Notamacropus eugenii: one gene and its partner. The protein of the gene in region 1 binds, or shares a complex with, the protein of each later gene. Links are inferred from orthologs where the notes say so. Each region holds a gene or a part of one and is shown in the gene's direction. Other genes may lie near its edges.

Region 1 (3,745 bases):
GCCTCAGGGACCGAGCCGTCCCCCGCCACTCCCTCTCCCCCCGCCGCAGGGCTGCAGCCGGGTGGAGGAGCAGGCGGCAGAGCCAGTCCCGCTCTCCCGGGTCCCCAACGAAGGCGCATAACGGCCAGCCGCACTCGCCTCCGCCCGATACCGAGACCAGCCCGAGCAGGGCTGCGGCGGCCACGGAAGGAGGACCTTCTGCGAGGCTGAGACAGAAGCCCCTCGCCGGTGCGGAACGGAACTCCCTCCGGGGCCAACCCGGCCAAGGCCGCGCTCGACGCGTCTGCCCGCCCGCCAGTCCGCCCTCCCTCCGCCCGGGGCTCACCTGCTGCGGCGCGAGCTACCGAGAACTGGGCGAGCAGCGGGGGAGAGAGGAAGCCCTTCAGCTCTGTCACTGCGGACCTCGGCGATTCCAGGAGCAGCGGCAGAGGGGGCGGGGCCTCGCGAGTCAAATGACTCCCCCTAAGCCCCACCCCTTCTCTCAACCCCCCCTCCCCAAGGCGCATTGCATCTCGGGAACTGCTCTTTTAATTGGGATACTTTTAGAAACTCACTTTCTTGCTGTTTGGCTCCCCTGTTATTGCTTTTGCCAGTCCAGAAAGATACTTGTCTTAAGGAAGGGAAAACAGTCTCTCTCCATTTATAGGGTGTGAGAGCAATGGGAACGAGGTCAAAGGGTATTGCCAAGGAAATGACGTTTTTCTTCCAGGAACGGAAATGGGAATGGGGATTCCATCCCGCTGGTTCTGGTTTTAATAACCCCGGTCCTTCGGGGTGCGCAGGCCACGTGACTGAAAAAGCTCGGGTTGTGGGCAAAGTATCAGAATGTAATGTTTTTATTAACTTTTTTTAAAAGGTCCACATTATTTCGCGTTAATTATAATCTTATAATGAAAGAACAGAGGCAAATAGGTCATTCAGAGTGATATTAAAGTTCGAAGGTCACCTAAAAGGAGGCGGAATAATCCAAAAGCCCGGGAAAAGCAGGGGTGGGCTAGATTGATCCAGTCTCAGAGGGAGCAGAAAGAAGGAAAGGTAGAGGGAGGGGCAGAGAGATCCAGATTCTTCCGCTCCTAGGCCGGCGGGCTAGCCCAGTGAAAGGCGTCAGAGGGGTCAAGGGAAAGAGAGATAACCGCAGATGGTACAATCTAGGAGGTGGACGGTTTCCTAAGAGATCTCGGCTGGGGCGGAGAGAGGAAGGCGAGGCAGCGAGAGGGGGCGGGAGCAGCGAAGCTGCGTGCGCGCCGGCGCGCGCGGAGGGGGCGGGGTGAAAGGTCACGGCGGCGCGGCGGCGGGTCTTGGCTGGCTGGCGGGCAGGCGGGCTGGAGCGCTGCGAGCGGCCCCGTGTGCACATGTGGAGGAGCGGCGGCAGCCCCAGCCCCAGGGCAGCGGCCTGAGACGCCCTCGAAGGCCGCGGCTGTCCCTAGCGAATCGTGCCCGGCCTCCAGCCCGGAGGCGGTGGTGGCAACGGCTGAGGAGGCGGAGGCCGGTGTGTGGAGTAGGGTCGCTCCCGGGCTCGGGGCGCGGCGGCGGCGACGGCGGCGGGATCGGCGGTAAAGACGGCCACGGCAGACGGGGAAGATGAAAGGGTGAGGCAGGGGCGCCCGGGCAGTCCTCAGGGGAGGACGGCGGCGAGGAGAAGGAGGAGAGCGGCGAGTGCGAAACGTGCCTCGCTCTGCTTCTGGGCCGAGGGAAGCAGCTTCGATGGCGGGGAAGGAGGGAGGGCGGCCTGGTTCCGGAGGCCAGAACAGCCCCGGGCGCGGGGAGACTAGAGGCCGAGGCGGGAAGCGGGGCCTGTGCCTGGGCCGAGGCCGGGCCTCGGGGGCGCCCTGCGAGGAGGGCTCGCCGGCTGTTTTCTGGCGGAGGTAGCGAGCGAGCCGTGGTCGCTTTCTCCTGGTCTCGGTCGGGGCCCCGGCCGGCTGGTGTTGCCTCCCCGCGTGTGCCGCGACCCTGGGCAGGCGAGAGGCAGTTGTGGGCAATGGCCCACCCGGTAAAGAACTTGGGCAGGAAAGGGAGCTCGTGGTCTGACCGGAGATTCGGGTGTCAGAGGCGGGCGGGGGGAGGAGAGCCCAGAGGCCGGGGGAGGAGTGCCAAGTATTTGAGGAAGTGAGCGGGCGCTTCAGTAGGTGGAGCTCTTACCTTTCTCTGGCTGACTGACCACTTACCTAAGGCGGGCCGGGGCGGGGGGCCCCGGTTTTGTCTGGGCTCCCACCGAAGTTCGGTCCTTGTCCTGCCTCTGCGTGGGACGGCTCCAGTAGTTGCAGTTGGACAAAGTGTTTCTTTTCTGCTTTTGTCCTGATTAAAGTGTTACTGTGGTTATTTTAAAAAGAAAAACAAAAAGAACATAACTTGTATCTTAAGGCTCATTCTGAAAGAGGTTAAACTTTTTAAAAGATGTTGAAGTCCTTCCTTAGAAATAAAAATCACAAAATTTACTTTAGTAAAATAAAAATTTGTGCTCATTTTTCGTTTAAAGATTGTGGACTTATGGATTTTGGATAGTAAAGGCAAGCTGTTCAAAATCTATGGTTAGAACTAGGCACTAACTTTTTTTTTTTTTTTTTTTTTAGTAAGCTAACTAAGCTCGTTGGGCAAATTTGTAGTTAGGATGAGAAACTAACCTTTTAAACATTGTTGAAGTTGACCTGCTAGGGTTATCAAAAAGTTCTGTGATTTAATTTAGCTTCAGTTTTGCTACACTTCCTTCTTTTTAAAAATTTTAAGTCTGAAATTTGTTATGATGGTGATTTGTTGATTTCTAATCAACTTTGATAGCAAACTTAAAAAACGTTTTGTCCTTGGTCAGAAATTTTTCCTAGAGTGTTATACACCTTTTATCTCTGCCTCTGCTGTTGTCTTTATTATCAGCATAAGGTCAACTGAGATAAAATGTAAAGCATTTTTCAGATCTTAAAACTTACCTGTTATGATTAATTAGGCAACTACTATCCTTGATAGAGTTGACTTACCAGCACATTTATTGGTGCTAATTAAAATTTAACAAAAGGACATGACGGTGAGATGGGACTATTAATATCTTTTTTTCTAAAAGGTGTGTGGGTTTTAGTTGTTTTTTTTAAGAATCTGAAACCACTAATTAGCCTGAAATGTGGGAAAGGTAGTAAACATGTATATTCTTTGGCACTTGAGTTTCATTTAAGTAGTACATTGAGTGACATAGGAACTATGGGTCATCAGTCTTGTTTTGATTATCATCATAGATTTAGAGCTGGAACAGATCTTGAAGGCCTTCTAGTCCAGCTTACTCTTTTAGATGAATCAACACGCCTAGAGAAGGTTGTGACTTGCAGAACCAGGATTTGAACTCTTGACTTCAAATCCTTCAATCTTCATTTCATAGATTTTTATACCTAGAAAGGGACATTAAATAGGATTTCTTAACTTTTTTGTGTTATCAACCCCTTTGGCAGTTTTGTCCCCTTCAGAATGTTTGTACACATAATTGATAGAAAACCTGCATTTCAGTTAGAAGTTAGTAAAAACAAAGATATAATTTTTTTACCCATCAAAGTTCACAGACCCTCTGAAATTGATCCATTTACTTGTGGATCCCAGCTTAAGAACCCCTGACCTAGTCCAACTCTGGTTGGTTACTGGTTGATTCCTCCCAGCTGCTAGTGCCTCTTTTGTATATGTGTATGTATCCATTCTCTTTCCCATTCATATATAAACTTTAAGGTTTCGGTTTTGTCTTTGTATGTCCGAGAGCAGCATGTTACCTACC
Region 2 (3,745 bases), on another chromosome or scaffold:
CTTGTACAATAGTTATTCTTACAAAATGCAAACACAAATATTATCTATACTTTTGAAAAATAAGTTTTATTGATGTCTTTCGTTATTACATCATAGCAATTTCTCTTCCTCTCCTTTCTCCCACCCTGAATCTAACCTTGTAACAAAGAAACAGTTAAGAAAAAAGATACAGTGAGTAACTGACTAGGCAACATTCTGCCCACTTAGAGGCAGGTATGTTTCATTATCTTCACTGAGATTATTATCGTTTTTTCAGTCACTTAGACGTCTACTTCCTCTTAGAGATTTCTTCTTTTACACTTGTGGTCTCTGTCTCTTATTCTGCTGGCGCTTGTTGTTTCACATTTAGCTAGGTGCTCTAGACTCTAGCTAGAGGACAGGCTGATGGACTCATTTATCTACCTCAGTTTACTCAGCCCTTCACCTTCCTCCCCCTCTCCCCATTTTGACTTTCTTCTTGAAGTTCGGGCCACCTCTTAATCCACAAGTCTATGTCTAGATTTTTTTCCTAAGCGGTCTTACTGAGTCGGAGTTTTCGGATCTCATCTACAAATTCAATGCGCCCCAACGAGCAGGCTCAGTGGCAAACAAGCCGAAGCTCTGCGGGGCCGCGAGGACAGCCGGCATCCCCGGGGGCACTCCTCTTGGGCTGGCCGAGGGTTAAGTTCCCTCACCCGCCGGGACGTTCCAGGTTCCTAATGTAACCCACTCCGTTATCAGAAGACCAGCCCCGCGGTGACCTTTAGACTTTCGTTGTAGGAGGCACACCCCGTCCCTGCCCCCAGCCTGGGCCGCTCCGATGCCCAAGTCTGGGCCAGGCAGCGCGCTAGCACCCAGGCTCCCCGGGCAGGGAAGCGGCCAGGGCGGGGGGAGAGTTCCGTACTTCGCTCGCCCCGCCCCGCTGGCCTCCGGAGCCGCGGCAGCTCAGCCGCCAGCACTGGGCGGGACTGGAAGCGAGGACCAGGAAGGATAGGAAGGGGAGGAGACGAAAGGGGAAAGGAGGTCACGGCGCCTGCGCGCTATCAGGTGTGACCCGGGTGGGAAAGCCCTCCGCGTCCGCCATTTTGGCTACCTCTGTCGGTCTGTTCAGTTACCACGTGAACCGCCGACGGGGACCCGCCGGGGGGAGGCGGCGGCGGCGGTGGCGGCAGGAACAGGGAAAGGAAGAGAAAAGCGGCGGAGAAGAGGGGGCCAGGCCGGCGGGAGGGCGGGCGCCACAGCGCGGCGGCGGCGGCGGGCTCTCGGGGCTGAGGAGGCAGCCCGGGGACGGCGGCGGACACACACACACACCCCCACAGCGCCCCAGACAGACCCGACCGAACCGGGCGGCGGCGGCGGGAGCCGCGGGAGGAGCCGGGACGATGCCGGCCGTGAGCCTCCCGCCCAAGGAGAACGCGCTCTTCAAGCGGATCCTGGTGAGTGCAGCCCCCGCGCCCGGGCTCCGCCGCAATTCCCGCTCGGCCGCCCGGCGGCCGCCGCGCCCCAGCCCGCGCGCGCCCCTCGCGTCCGTGCCTCGCGCCCCGGCCGCCCTGCGGCCCTACCCGCGCCCCGCCTAGGCCCGGACCGGGGGTGCGGGGCCCCCGCGGCGGGGGCCTCATTCATTGAGAGCAAGCTGCGTCTTCCCCCGCGGCGACCCCGTTGGTCCGGGGCCCCTGCGCCCGCCCGGGGCCCGGGTTCCCCGCGCCGCCCCGCCGGAGCGCGCCGCAGGAGGCCCCCTCGGCCCGCCGCGCCCCGGTCTGCGCCCGCTGCCTTGGCCGGGGGCCGGCGCGTCTGCGACCCGGCTCTGCCATCCCCTTTCCCGGGAGGTGGAGACCAGGTGGGGCCTGGCGGGAGGGGGCGGTCCGGGAGGAAAGAAAAAAAGTTTGGAGCTATTGGTTGTGAGATTGACTTTTTCTTGTGAATGAGACGCGAGTGCCTGGCCAGACACCCAGCCCCAAGTCTGTAGCTGCAGAGCGGAGGATAAGCCTCTAATAATGAGGCTATTTGCTCAAACTTTTGAGGGGTTTTTCGTTGCTGTTGTGAAGGTTTGCGTTCCTAAATCAGAGCTCATGATGGCGTTTGTAGAGAAGTGTGATGTGTAGCCACAGTGAGTGACTACATTGTAGCACGTTTTCACCTGGCTGGTGGTGTGCGTGGAGTAGGGAGCGTACCCCCTCCATGCCCAGGCACTGGATCCGTAGGATTTCACAGCAACGACTTGTAAGTTGTTAACTTAACCTAAGAATCTGTCTTATGTTTTAAACTTTGAAAAGTTTAAAGTGGAAATCGTCTTCAAAAAAATCAAAACTGATAAACCAAGTCACCAATTTGGTATGATGAAGTCACGTACAAGAGATCGAGGTAGTTTGTGTAAAAAGGTGGGAAAACTACTCTCACCATCTCATAGTTATTTTTTTTTAGTCTTTGGTACCATTGAAGTAAATCAGAATTGTTGGTAGTTTTCATCCTCTTAAAAGTGTAATTGGATCTTAAATATCAAATGCAGTCGGAGTTGCAGAGTGGCAACTTGGATTGACACTGAGATGATTCGCACATGTGAAGTACTGTGATTTTTAGAAACAAGTTAAATGCTCCTAAGAAAGTACCTTAGAATCCAGATCCTACATTGACATTGTGATATAGTGTTTATGAGGTTAGGAATAGGGATTAGACTTGTGTTTGCCTTGATACAGAGGAACTCTCATGTAGGGAAACTCATCAGTTCAGGTCAGTGACTTACATAGTCTTAGTTGCCTAAAGCACTGAGAGGTTAAGTGACTTCCAGTTAGTGTCAGGGAATGACTTTGACTCCAGGTCTTCCTGGCCGTATTTATAAATTATGTCCAAGAAAAGTATAAATAGGTAAGCAGAAAGCCATGAGATGTATTAAGCGCTAAACAGCAGAAAGCTGTAAAATTATTCTACCTTGAGAGTTGAAAAAAAAGTGACTAGTGGGATTTTGCATTCTAGTGGTCTGGAGTTTCAAAGTTGATCCATGTTTGTCAGTTCATAGGTGTTTTAGGAAGTTGAGCAACATTAGTAGATCAGACTTTTCCAGTCTAGGGAAGAACTGGGTATTCCTAATGACTTGTAGTAAAACATTCTTGTCAAATAGTTATTTGTTCATAATTAGACTTAAATAGGGAAATAGTTGACATTTTTGATATCAAATTGAAGTTTCATGATAAAATGTGTGTATGCCTTTTTTTTTTTTTTAAAGAGGAAATCAGTTTCTACATCATTGGAGACTTCCAGAATTAGAGTTTCTGAAGTGAATTTTGTTAGGGCTGGTCCTGGGCCATTTTAGTAATAGTAAGTGTGCTTTTTGTTGGAGATGTTAACTCTTCCTTTTGTTCTAACTCTGATCTGAAGAGTAGAATCATAAATTGAATGACATGTCTGTATAGCATGTCTTTCCTTTCTGTCACCCTGATATAATTTGTCCAATGAAAAAACTGACTTTATTTACATTTTGACATGAAATTTTAAGCAAATTTTTCTTTGGTTGCAAGGGGATTTTACAGTTTTATTTTTGTAAATAATTGGATATTGTTTATTTTGGGTGCATCTTGTTCTGAGTTATTAAAGGGCATTTGAGTTTGAAATATTTTGAATTAGTACTTCTCTTGACAAATATGATTATCATACTTTTTTGTATTGTACATTGTTATCATAATTACAGGTATTTTCTTTAGTCAAATTTGGTAACTTTGGTGTAGAGGCAAGAAAAATGGATTTGGAGGACTTGGTTTTGAATCGAAGCTCT

Evidence for each region. The genes of interacting proteins can lie anywhere in the genome.
Region 2: the proteins of NAA50 (region 1) and NAA15 are in contact, whole or in part, in a cryo-EM structure (PDB 6PPL), measured with the Homo sapiens proteins. The link is inferred for Notamacropus eugenii from reciprocal best matches to the Homo sapiens genes NAA50 and NAA15. Residues at the interface, in NP_079422.1 of Homo sapiens: Arg5, His14, Asn15, Lys17, Gln18, Arg21, Leu22, Val25, Phe51, Asn52, Ile54, Ala55, Leu80, Pro82, Tyr83, Leu86; in NP_476516.1 of Homo sapiens: Pro369, Pro370, Thr371, Leu374, Ser403, Thr404, Pro405, Thr406, Leu407, Ile408, Phe411, Glu433, Ala436, Leu437, Asp438, Thr439, Ala440.

What each region holds. Positions count from the first base shown.
Region 1 is NC_092876.1:353,945,589-353,949,333, forward strand, and holds the start of NAA50 (N-alpha-acetyltransferase 50), read left to right. Parts: upstream 1-1,220; 5' UTR 1,221-1,581; coding exon 1,582-1,589; intron 1,590-3,745. UniProt on the Homo sapiens protein: N-alpha-acetyltransferase that acetylates the N-terminus of proteins that retain their initiating methionine. Has a broad substrate specificity: able to acetylate the initiator methionine of most peptides, except for those with a proline in second position.
Region 2 is NC_092877.1:135,835,068-135,838,812, forward strand, and holds the start of NAA15 (N-alpha-acetyltransferase 15, NatA auxiliary subunit), read left to right. Parts: upstream 1-848; 5' UTR 849-1,361; coding exon 1,362-1,415; intron 1,416-3,745. UniProt on the Homo sapiens protein: Auxillary subunit of N-terminal acetyltransferase complexes which display alpha (N-terminal) acetyltransferase (NAT) activity. The NAT activity may be important for vascular, hematopoietic and neuronal growth and development.